3 linked regions of the Rhinolophus ferrumequinum genome follow. The protein of the gene in region 2 purifies or fractionates together with the protein of the main gene of each other region. This does not show direct contact. Links are inferred from orthologs where the notes say so. Each region holds a gene or a part of one and is shown on either strand. Other genes may lie near its edges.

Evidence for each region. Proteins that work in one complex are often made in the same cells at the same time.
Region 1: the proteins of SIRT1 (region 2) and HIC1 purify together in Homo sapiens (affinity purification with western blotting; 4 studies listed by BioGRID and IntAct, with this or other methods). This does not show direct contact. The link is inferred for Rhinolophus ferrumequinum from reciprocal best matches to the Homo sapiens genes SIRT1 and HIC1.
Region 3: the proteins of SIRT1 (region 2) and ZEB1 purify together in Homo sapiens (affinity purification with western blotting; 4 studies listed by BioGRID, with this or other methods). This does not show direct contact. The link is inferred for Rhinolophus ferrumequinum from reciprocal best matches to the Homo sapiens genes SIRT1 and ZEB1.

The regions. Positions count from the first base shown.
Region 1 is NC_046304.1:15,995,244-16,002,358, reverse strand, and holds the start of HIC1 (hypermethylated in cancer 1 protein), read left to right. Parts: upstream 1-4,227; intron 4,228-4,516; coding exon of another isoform or gene 4,517-4,604; intron 4,605-5,028; coding exon of another isoform or gene 5,029-5,153; intron 5,154-5,671; 5' UTR 5,672-5,691; coding exon 5,692-7,115. Other genes in the region: uncharacterized protein LOC117012891, read left to right, coding at 3,805-4,227, 4,517-4,604, 5,029-5,153. UniProt on the Homo sapiens protein: Transcriptional repressor. Recognizes and binds to the consensus sequence '5-[CG]NG[CG]GGGCA[CA]CC-3'. May act as a tumor suppressor. Involved in development of head, face, limbs and ventral body wall.
Region 2 is NC_046299.1:46,617,766-46,625,712, forward strand, and holds the start of SIRT1 (NAD-dependent protein deacetylase sirtuin-1), read left to right. Parts: upstream 1-4,897; 5' UTR 4,898-4,957; coding exon 4,958-5,363; intron 5,364-5,493; exon of another isoform or gene 5,494-5,589; intron 5,590-6,725; coding exon 6,726-6,842; intron 6,843-7,947. UniProt on the Homo sapiens protein: NAD-dependent protein deacetylase that links transcriptional regulation directly to intracellular energetics and participates in the coordination of several separated cellular functions such as cell cycle, response to DNA damage, metabolism, apoptosis and autophagy.
Region 3 is NC_046288.1:2,887,981-2,895,251, reverse strand, and holds the start of ZEB1 (zinc finger E-box-binding homeobox 1), read right to left. Parts: upstream 3,066-7,271; 5' UTR 3,003-3,065; coding exon 2,945-3,002; intron 2,040-2,944; exon of another isoform or gene 1,935-2,039; coding exon of another isoform or gene 1,925-1,934; intron 1,128-1,924; exon of another isoform or gene 761-1,127; coding exon of another isoform or gene 754-760; intron 627-753; exon of another isoform or gene 450-626; coding exon of another isoform or gene 434-449; intron 1-433. UniProt on the Homo sapiens protein: Acts as a transcriptional repressor. Inhibits interleukin-2 (IL-2) gene expression. Enhances or represses the promoter activity of the ATP1A1 gene depending on the quantity of cDNA and on the cell type.

The DNA.
Region 1 (7,115 bases), on a different chromosome or scaffold from region 2:
GGGGAGGGGAGGTGGGGGCGCGTCTCTTGAGGCTCCAGCATCTCCCCACTTTCTTGGGAGAATGGCGCAGAAGCCCCAGGAAAAGCCGCGGGGTCTCCGGGGGTCCATCTTCTGTTCGATGCTCCTCCAAAGTGGCTGCGTCTCCATCTGGGTGCAGGCAGGTGCTGCACGGGTTTCTGTGTACGCCTCCGGTACCGGTTCAACCAGCTGTGAGGGAACCCTCATCCCCCACCCTGCCTCCAACCCTACCTCGTAGGAGCCCTCCAACCTGCTGCCTGCGGGTCTCCTCGTTGCTCTCCCGTCCGTGTCCATGCATCCGTCCATCTATCGCCCGTCCGTGGGTCAGTCTCGCTTACCTGCCGGGCCGCGTCGCGCCCGCGCCAGCTCGCCTCCTGCAGCCCGGCTGGCGCGGCGGCTTTTATAGTCGCGCGTAGTACTCGTGCGGCGGCTCATTCATGCGGCCGCGGCTCCTACACACTGACGCGTTGCCGACGTCAGCAGGGAATTTAGGAAACGGGAAGAGGGGCTATTTATAGAGGCGAGGGGGGTGGGGACCGAGGCGATGAGGAGCTGGATGAAGAGCTGGGAGGTGGAGGAGGGTGCATGGAAGCAGGAACGGGGGGCGGGAACCCATGCCCCATGTACCGGTCTACAAGGGGTTAACTTTCCGGAACTGCGGGCTGGGGACCCGCGAGAGGATAATGCGGGGGGGCTGACGGGTCCCTTACATATTTATTCACTCTGCGACACCTGGGATGCAACCCTACTCCAGCCCAGCCTTCCAAGGTCCTCACCGGGTAGTACCCAATCCTACTCCTTAGTTTCTGGACCCGAAGGCTCTGTGACGTCACAAGATGTCCCACGGCGGCGTTATACTCCAATGGTCACTGCGGTGTTGTCACCCTGAGGAGTGAGGCAGGAGAGGAAGCTCCAGTGTGTGTGGGAGGGGGCGGGGGTGAGGGCGCTAGGGCAGCACCTAGAGCTATGGTGTGGATAGGGGAAGAGTAGGGAAACTCAGGGATCTCGAAAGGCTTTGTAGGAAGAGGCTGGGCCTGGAAGGAATGCCCAGTGGGGGTCCAGGTATCAGTTGGGAGCTGGAGACAAGAGGGAAGGCAGAAAATTGAAGAGGGTGGCTTGGACTCGCTGGAAATGAGCAAGGGGGTCCTCTGTGGGGGAGGTGGGGAAAAGATGGCAGGAGAAGGGGGGGCAAAAGGAAGAGGAAGCCTCAGCAGGTAGAGAGGAGGACAGGTCCCCTAGTGTCAGTGTCAGACCCTGGCACTGCAGACCACGTTTAGGACCCATTTGTGGAATGGTGGCATTGACAGAGCTCATATGGGGGTGATAATGAGTGAGGGCTCCGCAGCTTGGCAGAAACAGGTCTGGGGGGGGGGGCAGGGCAGAGGAGTTCGAGTTCCTGGAAATCAGAGTGGGCAGGAAGGGCCCATGCTATGTGGGTGGGAGTTCCTCTGGAGAGGACCAGGGAAACGAATGATCCTGGTCCACCCTAGCTCCATCAATTGAGATGGGCTCTCAATCAGGGAAGGGGAGTGCATTGAAAGAGAGGAGCTGGATTGGGATGGGGAGGGGGCAGTGCTAGGCCAGGGCAGGTGGAACTAGGGAAAGGTCAAAGACTGAAGAGTGAAGCCCACAGGAAGGTAGCTAGGCTGGGGCATCTGTGAGACCCTCCCATACAGATGTAAGGACAAGGGCTGGGGCAGTGAGCTAACTTGGAAAGCAGGGATCCAGGTAGAGTGTTGAAAAAAGACAAGGAGGGCCGGCCAGGTGGCTCAGGTGGTTGGAGCTCGGTGCTCCTAATGCCAAAGGCTGCTGGTTCGATTCCCACATGGGCCAGTGCCAGATGGCTCAGTTGGTTAGAGAGCATCCTCTCAACCACAAGGTTGCCAGTTTGACTCCCACAAGGGATGGTGGGCTGCGCCCCCTGCAACTAAGATTGAAAGGACAACAACTTGACTTGGAAACGTCCTGGAAGTACACATGTTTCCCAATAAATTCCCCTTCCCCTTCCCCAATAAAATCTGAAAAAAGGAAAAACACAAGGATAGTGGGCACATGGGTCCACAGTGGACAGAATCCACCACCACACAAAAGAGACACAGAGCTGAGGGGCAACTTGTGAGGCTAGGATCTTACCCCATCAAGAGGATAAAAGATTACAGCAGAAACAAGGTTAGAGAGGTCCTCCATACTCTTTGGGGTCTGGCTGACTAGAGTTTTTTGTTTGTTTGTTTGTTTGTTTTGCCTCCAGGCTTCCTCCCAGAGGTTCTCTTCTCCAAGAATGCCTTCCTGCCTGGCGGGAGAACTCCTCTTCATCCATCAAAGCCCAGTTCTAAGAGCACTTCTGAGGACCCTTCCCACCTCTTTCCAGCACTCCTTTCACTTTTCCGTCTCAGCGCACAGCACGTCCCCCTGCGGTAGGGGTCTGCAGCTCAGGAACCCCATTTTCATTTTTGGAACGTTACTACTTCCCTAGTGAGGCCATCATGGGAAGACAGAAGAGAGGATTAGGATAAGATTGATCCAGAACACAGACTGGAAACAGGGTGAGGGCGGACTCCGCGGTAGGAATGGGGACTTGCGGGGACCAGGAGCCGCCTCCTGGCCCCGAGGCCATGAAGTCTCTCGTGGAGGAAAGGGAGCCTCTGGGGGGCGCCAGAGCCTTTGGTGTCCGTCAGGGACCGCGAATGGCACCGCCGGCGTCCCCTCAATGAGTGATTCAGCCACTACCTCTAGCGGGGCATCGGGGCGGAGGGCCGCATGGGGGGCGGCGAGCATGGCCCCCACCCGCCCAGCGGCCCTGAGCGGTTGTTATGTTCTCCAAGGCCTTGGAGAGACGCGATCTGGGCGAACCTCAACGGTTACTATGGTAACTCTGCGACCCAGCCTCTAGCGAGGCAGCTGAGGAAGGCGCAGCCAATCAGCAGCTGCAGGCGTTCTCAGGGACCCACTCCCACCCCCCACGTGTGGGCGGGGGTCAGGAGGTGCGGGGAGGAGGAGGAGCGTGGGCCGCAGCGAGACCCCGCGCCGCTACCAGCTTGATGCGGGCTACTGGGCTGCGCGGGGACGCTTCCGGAGTAACCCTGCAAATGCCTGTGCGCCAGTGCGGGGTCCCCTTCCTCCCACAAGAGGTGTCACCTACAAGAACCGGGCCTTCACGCGGGGTGCAGGACCTTGCGGGGGATCCCGGGCTGCAGGCCCTCCTGTCACGTTTCTCTCGGATCGGTGTGTTGGAGATGAAATCGTCCAAGCAGGTCCCTCAAAATGGCTCACTCGGGAATCTGGGGGCTGCGCTCGCTTCCGTGGGATCCCCAAAAGACACTGTCCAGCAATTCCCAGTCGAATATCCTATGGCCCCTCTATAGATCTGCAAGTTCAGTGTGGCCTGTTTGGGTAACGTGTCTGTCCAGGTTAACGGAGGGCCCTACGTGGCAGCCCCCAGAGTATTACAGAGAGCCGGGACTTGGACTCCGGAAGGGGGCAGGCAGGTGTATCTGTGCAAATTTGCGCGCCCGCAGGTGTCAGTACCTGGAGAGGATCTGGGTGCAAACGGGTTTATTCTGTGCATGTGTCATTTTAACTCGTGTCTGAATGAGGATATGTGTGTTTGGGGGTGGCTACAAATGGACAGTCCCATCCAGGAATGTCTAAGTAGAGTCCCCCAAGATCTTGTCTATCTTCCTCTTCCTTAGGATTTCCGTAACCACCCTCCCACCATCTACTGTCACCAGAGTCTTCTCCTTGAGGGCAGGACTTCTCCGAATTGGGGCAATGTGAGAATCTGCAAATATGTACACCGGAGCATTTAGCTCAAAACCTCGGGGTTTGTGGGGCTCGCAGGTCCGGAGCTTGGGTTCCCAGTCGGGCATATCCGGGAGGGTGAATCTGCGAATAGGCCTCCCTGCAAGATCCAACTCCGCATCTGCGAGCCTCCAGCCCAGGTGCGCGAGAGGGAGGTCATGGCTGTGTCGCGCAAAGCTCCGCGCGACCGCGAGGTGGCTCCATAACTGCAGCAGAACCCGCCGGCCCGGGCCGCTCCAGATAAGAGTGTGCGGAAAGCGCGGCGGGGCTGAGACGCGACCAGGACGTGGGGAGGACGGACCAGCAGGACAGACCGACCGGGGGCCCGGCGGGCGGAGGGCAGCACAGCGCAGCCACGTCCCCCCTGGATCCGCCGGCAGCCGGGCCCGGGGCTTCCGACATGCCCCCCAGGTGGGTCCTCGGGCTGGGGACCGGGAGGGACAGGGGACCTAGACAGCCCGGTCCTCGCGCGCTGACCGCCTCGGGCGCATCCTCCGGCGCGGCCGTCCCAACGCGGCTGGCGTTCGGAGCTCCGAGTGTCGCCCCTGGAGGACTCAGGACCACAGGGTCGCTGTTCTGCGCCGGGTTCACGGCGGGGTCAGCGGCCCCGGCCGGCTCTGCCCGCACATGGGCTGGAGAGGCGAGGGGAAGGGAAGGGGAGCTGGCGGGCGGGGCTGGCAGGGGCGCTGCCCTGGCACAGTTCGGCGCCTGGCAGCGGGGCGGGTGGGGCACGGGCAAGGAGCTGCCACCACCGCGGGGAGGGAAGCCCGGTCGGGCTGCGGCCGCAGGTAACGGGCCGCGAGGCCCTGCGGGCCAGGCGGGGAACAGGGGAGGGCGGGCGAGCGGGCGGGCAGGGTAGCTCAAGGCTCGACTCAGGCCCTGCGGTCGCCGGGCTGCCAAAATGGGGGGCGAGAGAAAAAGCTGGGAGCCGAGGGGACTGGGGCTGGTGCGCCCCTCCCGGCCTGTCTGAAGTTGGGAAACTTTTCCCCAAGTTTGGGGCGGCGGAGTTCCCGCGGAGAAGGGGAGCTGGGGAGGGTGGCGCCGGTCTGCGAATGCAGACCTAAGGCCGAGGCCCGGCCGGGACGCGGGTGGGGCGCAGGCCGAGGTCAGGGCCGCAGCCGGCTGCGCGCCGTGCCCGCCCGGGGCGCTGCCCCCTCCCTCCCCTGGGAGCTGCGTGGCTCCCCCCTCCCCCCCACCTGCTTCCTGCCTCAGCCTCCTGCCCCGATATAACGCCCTCCCCGCGCCGGGGCCCGGCCTTCGTGCTCTGCCCGCCACGGCAGCCGCTGCCTCCTCTCCTGGTGCCGCGGCCGCCGCCCGGGCCCCAACTGAGGGCCTGACAGCCCCCGGCCAGGGCGGCGCCACGGCGGCCACGGCGCTCCCCTCCTCCGGATCACTTCCCCCAACTGGGGCAACTTCTCCCGAGGCGGGAGGCGGTTTTCACTCGTCTGCCTTAGATCCCACTTGGGCAAACTTCTCGGCCCTGAATGACTTTTCCTGAAGCGGACATTTCCCTCAAATCGGGTAACTGTCTCCGAAAGGGTCACTTCGCCCGAACAGTTTTCTCCTTGGAAGCCCCCCAGAAGCCAGCCTGTGTGCCCGGTACCTCCGGGCCTGGGGTGCAGGCCAGCCTGGCCTCCTCTCCACCAGCCACTCTCCTGCTCCTTCTTCTGGTCTGGGCCTCCGGCCCAGGCTCCCACACTCAGAGGCCGCTGATCCTCCGCCAGTGCCCAGGCCACGGTGCTCGATGCCCGTGCCTAGCTGAGGGGAAGGGAAAGTGGAGGGGAGACGCGCCGGGCTGGGGACCAGCAGCGAGGGCTCGGTGCGGCTCTGAACCGGCTGGTGTGTGTCCCCGCAGGAGATTGTGCTGGGCAGAGGATGCTGGACACGATGGAGGCTCCCGGCCACTCGAGGCAGCTGCTGCTGCAGCTCAACAACCAGCGCACCAAGGGCTTCTTGTGCGACGTGATCATCGTGGTGCAGAACGCCCTCTTCCGCGCGCACAAGAACGTTCTGGCGGCCAGCAGCGCCTACCTCAAGTCCCTGGTGGTGCATGACAACCTGCTCAACCTGGACCATGACATGGTGAGCCCAGCCGTGTTCCGTCTGGTGTTGGACTTCATCTACACCGGCCGCCTGGCTGATGGCGCAGAGGCTGCTGCTGCGGCGGCAGTAGCTCCGGGGACCGAGCCGAGTTTGGGCGCCGTGCTGGCTGCGGCCAGTTACCTGCAGATCCCCGACCTCGTGGCGCTGTGCAAGAAGCGCCTCAAACGCCACGGCAAGTACTGCCACCTGCGGGGCGGCGGCGGCGGCGGCGGTGGTTATGCACCCTACGGGCGGCCAGGCCGCGGCCTGCGGGCTGCCACGCCGGTCATCCAGGCCTGCTACTCGTCCCCAGCCGGGCCTCCGCCGCCGCCCAGCGTTGAGCCGCCGTCGGGTCCCGAAGCCGCAGTGAACACGCACTGCGCAGAACTGTACGCCTCCGGCCCCGGCCCGGCGGCCGCACTCTGTGCCCCGGAGCGCCGCTGCTCCCCACTCTGTGGCCTGGACCTGTCCAAGAAAAGCCCATCGGGCTCCGCGCCTCCGGAGCGGCCGCCTGGTGAGCGCGAGCTGCCCCCGCGCCCAGACAGCCCTCCCAGCGCCGGCCCCGCAGCCTACAAGGAACCACCGCTTTCTCTGCCTCCACTGCCACCGTTGCCCTTCCAAAAGCTGGAGGAGGCTGTAGCACCTCCGGACCCGTTCCGTGGCGGCGGCGGCAGCCCAGGACCCGAGCCCCCCGGCCGCCCCGACGGGCCCAGCCTCCTCTACCGCTGGATGAAGCACGAGCCAGGCCTAGGCAGCTATGGCGACGAGCTGGGCCGGGAGCGGGGGTCCCCAGGGGAGCGCTGCGAGGAGCGCGGCGGGGACCCGGCATCCTCGCCCGGGGGGCCCCCGCTCGGCCTGGCTCCACCACCGCGCTATCCGGGCAGCATGGACGGGCCTGGCGCGGGAGGCGACGGTGATGACTACAAGAGCAGCAGCGAGGAGACGGGCAGCAGCGAGGACCCCAGCCCGCCTGGCGGCCACCTCGAGGGCTACCCATGCCCGCATCTGGCTTATGGAGAGCCTGAGAGCTTCGGTGACAACCTGTACGTGTGCATCCCGTGTGGCAAGGGCTTCCCCAGCTCAGAGCAGCTGAATGCGCACGTGGAAGCGCACGTGGAGGAGGAGGAGGCGTTGTATGGCAGGGCCGAGGCAGCTGAAGTAGCTGCTGGGGCTGCGGGCCTCGGGCCCCCTTTTGGAGGCGGTGGGGACAAGGTCGC
Region 2 (7,947 bases):
GCCTCTACAGCTGTATTTGCATATGGGTTTGTATATAGGTGTAGTTTTTTTTTTAAATAATATAAAGGGGATATTTATTAAATAATGAAAGATGATAACATACATATTTTTCGTGCAACTTGCTTTTGTCTCACAAATGTTCATATATCATACACATTCCTCAAAACAACAGATCTTTTTAATGGTTACATAATGTGCCACAGCACGTGTGCACCATAATTTGATCAACAGGTTTACTATTGAAGATATCTGGATTGTTTCTTGACTTTTTCCCAGTAATATTAATGCCATAATAAACATTCTTGTATTCATATCCTACATATTCGCATTTTCATTTCTTTAAGATAAATGGGATTTTGGATTGAAATGTATATGTATATTTATAATTTTAATAAATATTTTCAGATTACTTTCCCACGCTATGACAGCAATGTATGAGAGTGTAAGTTTCCCTGTATCCTGGTGAGAGATGGTAACAATAAAATTTGTTTTGTTTTTGCCTATTTGAGGAATGAAAAATAGTACCTCATTGTTTTACTTGCATATCCCTGACTAGTAAATTAGAACACATTTAAAATTTTTATGGTGTCAAATATATATATTTTAAATGGCTCCTATCTTATTTAAGAAGCTTTCTTGATAAAAAGTTACATAATATACTAAAATGTCTTATATTTCTATTGTATTTTTTCATTTAGATCTTTAATCTACCTGGAATTTATTTTTATATCTAGTGTGAAGTAAGACCTGTATTTATATTTTTCCACATTAATAACCAGTTATGCCAATACCACTTTTTTTAGTACATAAAGTTGATACTAACTTCTCCATTAATTGTAGTCACATAAGACTGATACCAAAGCTATAAGGCCAATTTATTTGTTTACATAAACAGAGATTTCAAGTCAGCCAGAATATTAATGTTGGCTCTTTGACCATTTTCTCCCCAGTGGGTAATTCTACATGGGAAACTAAATTACTGTTGAAGGCTGCTCAGGGGGATTAGGTCTAGAAAACAAATTAAAAATTTTAGGGACTAGTGTCTGAGTCTGTGACAGCCTTTGATATAATAAAATATAAACACTTTGTCCACTCTTCCTGATACAGAACTCCTAATACTCTTGGAATTTCCTTAATGATAAGAAGGTCTTTTATTCTTTTCACCACTCCTGAGTTTATGCTAGTGAGGTAGCTTAGGGTGGGGTCCCCAGAAAGCCTCAAGATGAGGCCAGAAACCAGAAAGACCACGTGATTAGAAGGGGGAACTTTTAGCCCCACTCCCAACCTCCAGGGAAAGGGGCAGGTACACTGGAGACTGAACTCTATAGAAACTCTTAACAAAGAGATTCAGAGCTTCTGAATTGGTGAACACATCCATGTACTGGGAGGGTGATAAGCCCCAACTTCATGGGGACAGAAGTGCAAGACCTTTCTGGACCTTGTCCTGTGTACCTCTTCATCTCTGCCTGTTCGTTTGTATCCGTTGGAAGGATACAGAAAATACATTTACTTTGTAAATGTAAGTCATGTATCTTCCTGAGTTCTGTGAGCCATTCTAGGCAATTACTGAACTTTAGAAGGATGTCATGGGAACTCCCAGTTTCTATGCACTTCATCAGAAGTACAGGTGGTCTGGGACTTATTGGCATCTGAGGTGGGGTAGCCCTGTGAGACTTAGCCCCTAAACTGTGAGGTCTTCACTAACTCCAGGTAGTGTTAGTGTCAGAATTGAGTTGAATTGTTGAATACACAATTGGTGTCTGGACAATCAGAGACTTGGTTGTTGGTGTTGGAAAACACCTCACAGTCCAATGTTATGTCACCTTGTCAAACAGAGTATCAGAAACATGTCATATGTTTTACTAACTTTCTCACCTGAACTGTGCTGAGAACAAAGTGAATTTCCCTGTTTCGCTTCTTTCTTTTTTTTTTTAGGATCTATGCCAATAATTCTTTTCCTATATGGAAACCTTCACTTAGATTCTTCATTTATTCCATTCAATAAATACACATATATGTGCCAGTTATTCCACTAGAGAGCTAATGATACAGAGTTGAACCAGATGAACAAAATTCCTGCTGTAGTTGGGGGAGGAAGTCAACAAAACACAGAGAAAAATAAGTTAAGGACTAAAATAGGGGAATGTGCTTTATAATGTACTGAATAGGGAGGACAGAGGCATAGGCAAAAAAAGTATGACAAATACATGGCAGGCATGTATGTATTTTAAATGCTTCCAGAGTTATTTTGTACATATATAAGCAAATACATACATATATACATGTATACACATATGGTCTTCCTTCCACACTCCCCCTTTTATTTTTTTCACAAATAGCACTACACTATATACACTATTCTACATATTGCACTGTGCAGCTTGGAGATCATTCCATACAAGAACTTAAAGAGTGTCCTCATTTCAAAAAAAAATGGCTTAATAATATGAAAAGCTCAATTTAGAGTATATTAATGCTAAAAATATTTACAAGGCTTAGGCCAGATTCATGGAAGATTTTAAAAAAACTGAATATGAACTTGTAATAAAATAAAATAATCGGTCTTTCTGACTCCATCTTGCTCGTGCCTGACGTGTTAGTTAGCAACTTCTGCTTAGTCCTGCATGTAGATATGCTAGTCATCTAACCTGTAGCCTAGAACTTACTGAAACAACCTTCCTGCTTGAAACTACCTCCCTAAGGAGATAAGGAAGGTATGTACAAAAATATTGTTTATCAAAATTTTTATAGGAATCTTGTGACTAAGATCACGGCAACCAGAGTTTGAAGTTTCATCATCCCCCTTGGACCCTTGCTGACCTCCAGATGTCTGAGCTCATCAGTCACATCCTGACCTCAAACCCCTCCTGTTCCCCCTTTCCCCTGACATAAAAGAAACCTGCATTCTCTATCTTCTCAAGAGAAACCTTTAGGACTCTAGTCCACTATCTGCTCGGCTTTCTGAATAAAGTCGTTTCCCTTGCCCCAACGCCTTATCACTTGACTTACTGGCTGTCCTGTGGTGGTACGAGCTTTCACTCCATTACAAATTTGCAAGCTTTAGGCACAAAGAATGACTTGAATTTCAGGCAACTAGTTCTCAACTACTGGTAGACCAGAAGTCTAATTACGTTTGTTTTATAATACAATTTCTATCTCTCATTTATTCTACTTGCCATGAGTACCCCATTTCTGACATTTCAGCACATTAGTGATCATATAGCATTTCATAAACACCAGCAAGTATCTTTGATAATATATATATATGTGTACACACACACACAAATATATATATAAGTAAAAGAATGTCCATAAGCTTACAAACGTCTATCTCAGAAAAGCTGGGAATTTTGTTTCTATTTTGATGGGATACTGCCTCTCAACATTTCATATATTACAACCCACCAATGTGGTTGAGAATCAATATATAAAATATCTTGTAGGATAAGATAGACAAAGTGGAGAGACAACAGGGCCAAGTACGTCAGCCAGGAAGGATGAGGTGCCTGTGTAATTAGGAATTGGAAAGAGTATAGGAGGGAAGGAAGAACAGGATTTGGTACTGATTGTATAGAGGGCATCAATCCGAAGGAACACTTCTAAGATGATTCCAAGGCTTCCAGGAAGAAAGAGATCACTTTCAGAAATGAAAAGAAGTGACCAGTTGTAAGGGGAGATTCCTAACTTAATTTGAGGTACAAAGACTTTAGATGGGACCTCAGAGATACATTTCCAACATTGTAATTTTTTTTTTTAAGAATGAAGAAACAGCAAGTTGTTTGCCTAAGTTCGCACAAGTTAATAGGCGTGGCAGGCAGGACCCACATTACGCTTAAGGGATGGTTTACTGTAAGCTCGGAGAGGTCCTGTAAACGGATAGAAACCCAGTGCGCGAGAGGCAGATACCCTACCAAACACTGACTCCAAACCTGCCAAATTTTATTACATGGGTCCCTAGTGAAAGCTAGATACGGAGTGACAGAGTCCTGGAATTTCAGGGAAAGTGGAAAATAGAGAGGCAACAAGTAGGGAAAGAACTATTTTCTAAACTACCATGTACCCGTCATTTTACATCTGGCTATCTCATTTAATTCTCACCACAACAGTATTACCATTTTTTAGCGATGAAACCAAGCTAGAAGGGAAGAATCTCCAATTGCAACCGAAACCCAGATGTGTATAGGGGCCAAGTCATGCTCATCCCGCACTCTCCTTATGCTGCCTCACCTGACCCAATACACTCATTTTAACGAAGCCCGCTCAAGGGAACACCCACACATTTGTCAAAGGAGTTGTGTGTGTGTGTGTGTGTGACACATACCATTGGGGATTTTACAACTTACACTACACTACAAGTGGAGAGTAGGGGGAGAAGCCATCAGCTAAGAGGAGAAGCAAGGAGAGAGAGGAGCTGTCAGAATGGTGTGAGGAGTGAACTGTGTCCTTCTGCTTCTACTCATACCCCTAACAAGGAGACTATCCAACACACTTGAGGGAGCTAAACCTTGGCCAGCTTCATTCCTTATTGCCTCTCAGGAACTACGATTTAACCCTTAATCTAGAACAAGCGAGGTGAGCACTTCAGACAGAAGTGGAAACCCGCAGTGTGAACCAAAATTTGAGCCGTGCCAGCGGCAGTGACTTCAGGACGGTTTGAAAGACAAGTTGAGAAACGGGCGAGTTTGGCTGCATCACGCGCCTGAAGCCAAGCGGTGGGGCCGCAGCAGCTCCTGCGGCTTTTCCTCTCGGCCCACGCCGCCTCCGCCCGCCACGTGACCCACCGTGTTGTGGTGAGGCCCGCGTGGGTGGCGGGAGCCGCGGGAGGGCGGAGGCGGCGAGAGGTGGGTCACGTGACAGCGTTTAAATCTCCCGCAGCCGGAGCCGCGGGGGCGCCACTGCCGCGAGTCGAGCGAGAGCAGAGGAGGTGAGGAAGGAGGGCCAGAGAGGCAGTTGGAAGATGGCGGACGAGGCGGCGCTCGCCCTTCAGCCCGGTGGCTCCCCTTCGGCGGTGGCGGCCGAGAGGGAGGCCGCGTCGCCGCCCGCCGGGGAGCCGCTTCGCAAGAGGCCGCGGAGAGACGGCCCCGGCCTCGGGCGGAGCCCGGGCGAGCCCGATGGGGCGGCCCCAGAGCGTGAGGTACTGGCGGCGGCCGGGGGCGGCCCGGCGGCGGCGGCGGCGCTGTGGCGGGAGGCGGCGGCGGCGACGGCGGGCGGGGAGCGGGAGGCCCAGGCGGCGGCGGCGGGCGGAGGAGACAATGGGCCGGGCCTACAGGGCCTATCCCTGGAACCACCGCCGGCCGATGATTTCGACGACGACGACGACGAGGGCGAGGAGGAAGAAGAGGCGGCGGCGATTGGGTACCGAGGTGCGCAGGGCGCGGGCGGCTGGGACTGCGCATTCCCTCCTCCCTCTCCCGGGGCCCCTCCTGGTGTGGGGTGGAGGGGTCTCGGGTGGGCAAGGGCTCAGGGCTGATTCTGCCGCGACCCTCTCCTTACCACGGCCCTCAGCTGCGCGCCTCCGGGGCTGCCGGCCTGGTTGCAGGAGCGGCCTGCGGACTCGCTCGCTCCCTCCCTCCCGTCCGTCCCTTAGTCCGCGGCCCGCCTTAGCGGCCTCGCGCTTTGCGCAGCCGCCGGGCGGGGAAGCTCTCGCAGGTTTTAAAATAAGTTTCTTTCCCCTCCTACTTTTTTAGCATATTGCTTTTATTTAACATCATTCCCACCCTTCATCCCAGCCCCCAGCACTCCTAAATCTGCAACTTTTGCTTATCCCTTGCACCGACTTTTTGCAGTTGTCTTTGCAAATTGACACCTGTGCAATTTGTGACTTTTTGGGGGGAGGGTCTTTATTTTTAAATTAGTCTTGAAATTGGAAGAGCAAAGCTATTTCTAATGTAATAGCCTCCAAATTTTGAAGAGCTTAGCTGTTTCTAAAGACATTACTCTTGTGGTGCAATTAATAGTGGACGTAGAAGAGTGACAGTACTTTGAATAGTATTTTTCCTCTAATCATGTTCTTAAAATAGTTTTAGGATTAGGTATAATCCTTTATTGTGTGTATATGTAACCCTGAAATACGACTGACATATTTTGGCATACTAAAGCAGATGTGTTAGTTGTATATGTCATGTCATCTTTGAGGATTTCATATTTTCGATGTGAGGAGTTTCTGTCCTGGATAGATGTGCTCTTCATCATTTGTATCAGTAAATTTAATCAATGGACCATTGGACTGTATTTAAAGGTAACATGCATTAGAGACTTGATTAATAAGAAGACCTCATTCAAGAAACAGTCGAATAGGGAAAATGAATAATGCAAAGTTATCTTTGTATGTTTAGTATTTTATAAGAGAAGTGCAGATTGCCCTAGTTACTTGGAACAAATTTTTTTGGTTTTTATTTGACAAGTTTCATGAGCTCTATTATTTGTGATTGATAAATTCAGTCTAACTAGATTAGTACTTCTTGTGTTTTGATTAAGTAAACTTATGTCTAGATTTTTGTGTGAACTGAAACTTTTAGATTGTGGGCAGAATCCCTAAAGATGAGGATATATACTGTGCCTATGAACGGTGCAAGCAGACCTAGTAGGCATTCTTTACACAGGCAATATGAATGTTAAGTGCTTCATTCATTGAAAATTGTTGCATCATAACCACTGTAGATCTTCATATATTTTAGATGCAGACTGTTTCAGTAGCTTTGAGTTACTTTTGGTTTCTTTTGTAGATAACCTTCTGTTTGGTGATGAAATAATCACCAATGGTTTTCATTCCTGTGAAAGTGATGAGGATGATAGAGCCTCACATGCAAGCTCTAGTGATTGGACTCCAAGGCCACGGATAGGTATGGTTCCACAGCTTTTAGAAAGTAAATGTCTTTTTCTTTGTTTTAATTTTAACGCCAACTAAAAATATAATTCTCTGCCCCCTTATAACCTAGTTATTAGGTTCCTTAGGTGCTTGCTGGATTTAATGTCAGCTTATTTTTCTAGGGAAAGTCTAGTGCTTTGTTTTTATTTTTAAACAGCTCAGGCCCATGGAAACTGGCCTCTGGTATTTCTCAAACAACCAGGTCCTTCTCACAACTTGGGTCCTTGGGTCCTCTTCGCTGGTACTCAGTGTGGAATGCTCTTCCTCTAGAGTATCTTGCTTCCTCACTTCCTATCCATTCTTCATTTTTTTCTTAACACATCATCACTTCTCAAGCTTTGTATCTTAACTTTTTTATTGTGTTTCATATACTAAAATATACTCGGAAACCAGTTGGGGGCAGGGATTTTTGACTGATTTGTGTACTATTTTGTTAGTACCTAGGTAAGTGCCTGGCACATAATTTGTGTTCAGTGAATCCGTATTAAGTATGTGGATAAAATGGGAAAGTATTTTGAAATAGAGAACACTATTCAGATTTTTATTACCAGTTATAACATGACCATCTTGAAAGTGATCTTTCTCTTAATGTGCTCTCATTCTTGACTATTTAAATATAGTGATGGATAGTTCCTTTTTAGGATCCATAATATTTACTATATTTTTGGTTTTTTTCAAGCTAGGATACTGATTTAAGAAATGCCAGGCGAAAAAATATTAATGCTCAAAACCAGCACTGTGTGTATCATTTTGGGAGATTGATTAAGATCAAATTGAAGATTATTACTGGAAAAATTTTAAAAGATAGTAGTTATGTATAGATTTATTTTAGGTAGATATTTAGATATCCTTTTCTTTTTCCCTATGTCTTTAATGATAAACAGTATGGGATTTCGGGACTGGTAAGATCTATCCTATATTGATTTGGAGAACCCTTTTGTACATATTCGTGTTATTAATTACAGTGTGTATTTCTGGATTTTAATGATTGAAATTTAATTCTGGCAATTAGTTTGACTCCTAAAATACATAGCTTGAGGGGCAGACTTACTCTTGATTTGCTCTCCCTATTTCATTGG
Region 3 (7,271 bases), on a different chromosome or scaffold from region 2:
ATGACTGCGTTGCTAAGAAATATTAACCAGCACCTACCCTGAGGTTTCATAACACAATGGCATATATAACTTCATTTTTAATTTGCAAATTATAAGGCTTAATCAAATAGCACGACAGTAATCATCAGCAATGGATGAAATGCATTTGAGAACAAAAAGAAATACAAGGACAGAGCCAAAAGTGACGAAAATGGAAGATACCTGTAGTAGTATAGTGCTATCTTAAACACCTTTTGTTTTCTCAGAGTAATGCATACTGCAGACAAGACATTTTGTGCTAAGCAGCCCCAAATCTGTTTTTCTAATATTAAAAACAAAGGAAAAACACTGACAGTAAGCGTGGTAAATAAATCCCTCCCTTGAGAATGAAAGCAGCAGACAGGAGGGGGCTGACATACATACAGGAGAAAACTAAACACCATCTTTTTTCTACCTGCACAAGTTGCCATTTGCTGCAGCGACCGAGAACCTCTTTTTCCTGTTGATTTCAAGTACCTTTCAGGATAGCTTTTTTCCCCCTTAAGTCATCTGTTGATATGCCTTATGGGTGTAATATTCACATCGCAGGATCTTTAGGAGAAAAATCCATTCTTTCCTGCTCAGGTAAACATGTTTACAGCAGCTGCACAGACGCTGGGTGGTTCAGACTCACATGTCACACACATGTCGTCAGCAACAAGAAAAGCCCCTTTCTATGGCGATGAACATTTTAAATAAGGTAAAAAGCGAACAACCCTTTCTGAACCAACTTACCTTTCATAAAGCCACATCAGCAACAGCGGCAACAGCTCAATACAGAACACACAGTATTTGACGCTAAAACAGGAAATTAAAATTGCAATAGCCTATGCTCTGCTCCTTACTGTAACAAGTCATCTCTCACAATGAGGATACAACATATTAGTTATCGATCATAATTGTTTGATGCTTTTAAATGCAAACATTTGAATAACTACAATCATTCGTGGAAGCAGTGATTTTAATGTTGGTTCAAATATATTAAAATGTTTACGATTGGAAGGAAACATCTTGAAACAGCTTAAAACCTTCGTATCTGCTTCTAGACAGGAAATCCCACACAAAATCTAAAATTGCCAGGAAAGGTTACAAAACCTCGCGTTTCGCATCCCAGAGGGGAGGGAGAAAGAGAGGCCGGGCGCGGGGGAGGGGGCGGGGGGATCGCGAGAGTTTTTACTTAAACACATATTTCCTCATTTTCTGGAAGATACAGTGATTCCATTATAGGCGCATTTATTTCCCTACTCTTAAAAACTCGTTTTAAAAATAACGCAGGAACCCAGACAAGCCCCTCGGTCCAAATGTACGTGTAATTCCTTATATAGCCTGGGCCGCAGCCGGCGGCAGAGCCGTTGCCGCCCATTATTATACAAACAGGTACCCGGCCGGCGGGCGGGGGCCTCTCCCCGAGCTCCTGCCGCCCCCGGGCGGACAAGTCTTGCCCCTCTCGCCACAGGAACTGTCCAGACAATAACAATCAGCAGACATTTCGCTGCTGAACAGGGGGGAGAGAAAGCACAGAATCGCCCCTGAGATAAGCAAAAATACAATCAACTTACAACGTCTCTCCAAACTGGAAAAGGCCAATGTGCAACAACAACCACATGTTCGGGTCTCTCTCGCTCTCTCTCTCTCTGTCTCTCTCTTTATTTATTTAAAACTCTCACGCCAGGCCGAGGGGTGTGTATTTCCCCGGCACATCAGCACAGATCAATAAACACTGCAGCTGCAGAGCGAGCAGCCGACCCGCACGTCCGTCAGTTCGCCCTCCCCCTCCCCCACTCCCTTTCCACCCGAGTCCGCGAGCGCCATCCAAGCTCCATTATCCGGCTTCAGCGCTCCGAGCGTCCGGCTCAGGTAACAACTTCCCCAAAAACCGAAAGAGAAAAGAGAGAGGCGTACGCACACAGCCCCATCCCAGCGCGGAGAAGGAGTCTTCCCCGGGGAGGGAGCTCTGTCTGTGGTGCTTTCCTGTCTCTAACCAGGTAACAACTCCACAAACACACCCGCTGCCCGGCTCGCCGCCATCCACAGATCGCCCCCAGCAGCAAGTAGGCGCCCGCTGCTGCCCCGCCGTCCCTGCCGCCCCACCAGCGCCCCACAGGACGTGGACCTCACTCGCAGGGCTTGCCTCGGCGGCCCAGGGCGCGGTGGCCGGGGCGCGGGGGAGGAGGGGCACTTAGGGACCCGCGCCTCCGCCGCTAATCCCCACTCCGCGAGCGCGCCGGCCGGTCACAACTTTACAGCAGCGGGCTGAGCCCCGTCCGCCCGCGGCGCGCCCCGCCGGCGCCCGCGCACACGCGCGCACGGACGACACGCAGCCGGGCCACCGCGTCCCATCGCCCGCCGCGCGCCCGCAGCCGACCCACCCTGCCCGAGCCGCGGGGCCCAAGCGACGGCGCGGGCTGGGGCCGCGACGCGCGGAAGCCACTTTGCACGGCCAGCGCCGGCACAAGTTAGTTCCCGGCTCCCGGGGGCCTCGGCGCTGAGGGAGAATACGGCGGAGGGGGCTGAGGAGGAGGGGGAGCGGGGAGGCGCGAGGGGCAGAAGAGTGGGGAAAAGTGAGAAAAGAAGCAACAGCCTCTCCACCCGGGACCAGAAAAGTGGCCGCCGCGTCCCGACCGCTCGCCCTGCGCCGGGGATGCGGCGGCGCCGGCTAACGGTCCAGGGAGGCGGCAGGGGCGGCAGGAGCCGCTAGGCGGAGAGAGACCAGGTAAGAGACATAACGGTTCAGGGAGAGCGAGCGGCCGCGGCGCGGCTCCGGCAGCGGAGGGGGGCAGAGAGCACTACTTTCTACTTTCCCACTCCACTTTGCCAGTCCCTGCCCCGGCCGCCCCCAGCCCGGCTCGCCCCCCTCACCTCCGGGGCGCCCCGGCTGCCCGGCTCCCCCTGACTCCGCCGCTCCCCGGTCCCCTCCGCCACTCACCGTTATTGCGCCGCGGGTTCGCCTGCTTTCTGCGCTTACACCTGGGGCCATCCGCCATGATCCTCTCGCTTGTGTCTAAATGCTCGAGTCACCTCCTCCCCCTCCCTCCCTCCTCCCCCCCACCCCTCCGCCTCCACCCCTCCCCCCTCCCCACCGCACCTGGTTTACGACACTCGCGGCTTTACGACATCACCTTCCTTACACCTAGAGCCGCTCGCTCTACGGCCGGAACCTTGTTGCTAGGGAGAAGACGGTTTGCGGCAACACTGGAAACAGCTGTGTTTGAATTGAGGGCCGAGGGAAAAGTTTCCCTCAGGTGTCTTGGGATGGGGGAGGGAGACATTGGGAAACTGTGGGGACCTGGTCAGACGGGCGACAGGCTGTCAGACTGAGAAAGGTAAAGGAGGAGGTTCCGCCGCGTTCTGCCTGTGAACTGGCCACACCCGCCGCGAATGCTTGGGGCTCGTACGGGTCTGACCGATTCTAGTCGGGACCTTGTGTCCTCAGAGTAACCGGAACAACCTGTCTTCCCTCTTCCTCAAGGTTAGGCTCCGCTCCCACGCAGCGTTCGTCCGCTCTGCGCACCCCGGGGCTCCGCAGAGGGTCGTGCCCCGGACTCCCCCGGGAGTTGCCCGGGTTAGGAGAAGGGCAGGTTCGGGAACGGTGAAGGACTGTTTTGGGAAGCTCAGCCTCTGACCGCGAGGACGCACGGCTTCACGAGAGAGGCTACCTGACCCCCGCCCCGCCGCTCTGACTCCCTTCCATTACACGCATGGTTTTCCCCTCAGGGAACTGGGATGGGAAGTGACTTCAATTAGATAGAACTTCAGCTGGACCGAAAGAGAGGCTAGAAGTTCCGCTTGCAAGCCAGCTCGGCGGGGAAGCAAAATGAGTAATACCCACACTGCCCCTGTCTCACTTCCTCATCCACACCAGACTCACCTGTCACCTCCGCCTGCCCCCCGCCCAGCCTCCCTGCTCTGAGCGGTCCTCTGGGCTTTCCCCTTAGAGTAGTCCCACGAGATCTTGGGCGTCAAGAGTCAAAGTTAAGCTATTAACAGGCCGTGACTTACCATCTAAATGGGTAGTTACCTGTATATAGGACGTTAAGGCAACAAGCATGGCTCACAAATGCGGTCTTTGAGACTGATAGATTGCTGATCTCATCTCAAGTCCCTGACTTGGTATAAATTTGGGGGATGTCTAAAAGACCGTATAGATAACACCACAAATACCAAGGAAGTCAAGTCTGAAGTAGTCAGTAGGATTTAGCTTTCCACTTCTTCCCCCCCTCCCTTTCAAATAAGGAAAAGTCTTTGGGACCAATTTTATGAAATGAGCTGAGCTGTATTTCAAATAATATAGTTATAAATTAACAATATACGAATTATTGGTAGAGAAATTGAGAAACCTGAAACATGACACGTAGAGTACTAGAAATAAAGTTGCCCAGCACAGTGCTCTCACGGTAGGTGCTCATAAATGTATGCCTGTAATTTTTGTCATACCTATGGCAAGATTCTTTATTATGTTAAAATAATCTTTTAAACACGCTCCAGAATTTTAGAAGATTCATTAATAATCTCTTCAAACCTTTCAACTGAAATTTACAGCTGAAGTCTAGTAATTTAATATTAGAAAGTTTAATCCTGAATATGAGTATAGATGAAAATTTTCTCACTCACGTTTGCTTTGGGACTTTGAGAAGTGAATACATTATTTATTGGTGCATGAAATGTGACTGTAAATATTCTTTGCTATATATTATGTCTATATATCTACTCTCGTCCTCAGTGCCAAAACTACTCATTATTCTTTATGATCATTTAAGTACAGGCAATTCTCCCTTTCCTCAATACCATGTTAACTGAACTTGGGCATGTTAGAACCAGAAAGGTGTCCATGCTTTGCTTTATTCAAGTGGTAAGTTTCCTACTTTTTTATAACTGTGTAATGTTCTTTATTTGCCTTCTGAATCAGGTTATAGAATTTGTCCTTTGCCAACACCGCCCCCTCCCCAACAAACACAACATTTTTACAGTTACCCTAATTTCCAGTAAAAAAAAAAATACTTTCTAATTCTAGCATACATTTGATTTACTCTTAAACTTAGGAAACATCACATGCTGTTTTCTCTTTCTGCCTGTCTTGTACCTCCCTACTAAGTTTCCTTCAGTGTTCATCCTCACCTTGAAATCAGAGATAAAGTGTAAGGGACTCAGGCACAAAGTAGAAGTCATTTTCTTCCATACCTCAGTGCTTACTGGTTTACTTAGCTTGGGCCAGACTTATTTAACTCCATGTGAACAGATTCATTATTATTATTATTATTATTATTATTATTATTATTATTATTATTTTATTATTCTGTTCATGCCTGTGTCCTCAACACCTAGCAGAATACCTAGTCACATAGTAGATGCTCAGTAAGTAAATATTTTTTAAAATAAATTAATACTGTTGATCTTTTCAGAATCTGTTCTTGGCTATAAAATAAGGATTGTTTATTTACCTTCATCACATTTGTTCGTAGGAGCAGTTGAAATCATGGACATAAAAAGCTGTTTACTGTCATTTATATCCTGTCTTATTTTGAGACTAATTGGTCTTGATTTTAGATTCTGCATAATCATTTTTCCCAAATTATTAACTCAATTCACTCCTATTTTAAAAATATGTACAGGAAATACTATTGATATTCCAACTCTTCCTATACAAAATTTCAATTTTATAAAGTCCTGTAATCATGTATATTATAAACTGAATATTTGATTAATATACTTTATTGTAAATGTTCCCCAAGTTATTGAAATCTGGACTTGAAAGAAAGCAGACAAAAGTAAATCTCAGAATAAATTGCTGCTTTAAACTTGAAGCATTTGTGATAGCACTTATCTCTTAAATATAACTAAAAAATTGGAAAAAGCCTTTAAAATACATTTAGAAAAGGAATAAATTTATTAGAATTTAGGTTTATTTAAATCAAACATGGTAGGATACTAATAAGAGTTTAATGTGTATTCTGTATTGTTGGATTTTAGCAATTGTAGTGCCATCATACGATATATGCTATTCAATATATACTATTTTTAATGTCAGTGAAATGTTCACATTACTTCTAGTGAGCACTGAGATTGCATATGCTGAAGAAGAGGTATTCTGCTGAAAATGAATTACTGTAATCTTTTCTAAATTTACAGGAAAAAATGTAAATGGGTAGAATATTTTCAGTATTGAGTTTTTCCTATAAATTTTTCATGAACCCTTTGCACCTGCTATTTGCTTTCCATATGAGATTCATGTGTAAGTGAGGGTAAAATTTGACATAAAATTATTTTAAGTTTCAAATGTAGATATTCCATGGTGTTCCACATTGCGTCTGATTTCCATGTACCTAAGTTCCTGAACACATTTGACAAGTATAACTTACATCATTCTACAATCTTCATAAAAATAAAAAAGTTGGTTATTTTCATGGAAGGATAACATTAATTATGTTAATTAGGTTAATTACGTTAACATGTGATTTTAATATTAGTGCTTGAAGGAAAAAGACATTTGATACCAGTTTTCCGTCAAAGTATAGAGTTTAGAATCCCCTAAAGTTGTTCCTCAATCCTTGGCTCAATAGTGACTCTGGATATGTGTGTGGTTCACAATGAAACAAAAGAGGGCAGTCGTAATTTCGCTGCCTGCAGTTTCACCAAATTCTGCAATGACTGAGGCAGGAAGGAAATATGACTACAGGGTGATGCAGAACCGACAGTTGTCTTTAGTACCCATGATATAGCCTCCCAGGAGGGAATAATAGGGACAAATGTTTTCCCCAGACCTCCATGTGATTTTATTATCTATTGCACAACAAAATGGTATTTCCCCCTCTGGGGAACAAGGCTCCTATTTTTAATATAAGTCAATGAAATGTTAACACATGGAACTTCTTATTTGGGGGGCAATTTTTCAGGAAGATGTCTAATATGGAAAGATGTAAGTAGAAAAATAGAGAGGTTTGAAGGAGGTTAATGAACATCCAAAAAATAAAACTAATCTTTTTCATAAAATTACAGTAGTTAAAACAAATTGCTTTCAATTCCACAGTAGATTATAGTTGCTAATATTGATATCACACATGAACATGAACAGCATTTTTTCTATACTAAACAATTATAGATAATTTGTGCTAGAGAGAGAGCAACTTGCATATTTTATATTTGAGTAAATTTTTAGTATTCACCATGATATCAGAGGGCTGATACCTGTTTCTATTGTTTTTTTCCCCACTTTGTCTTCATGTATTTTTCTCTGGCATCTTAACTTCTTTTAGCAG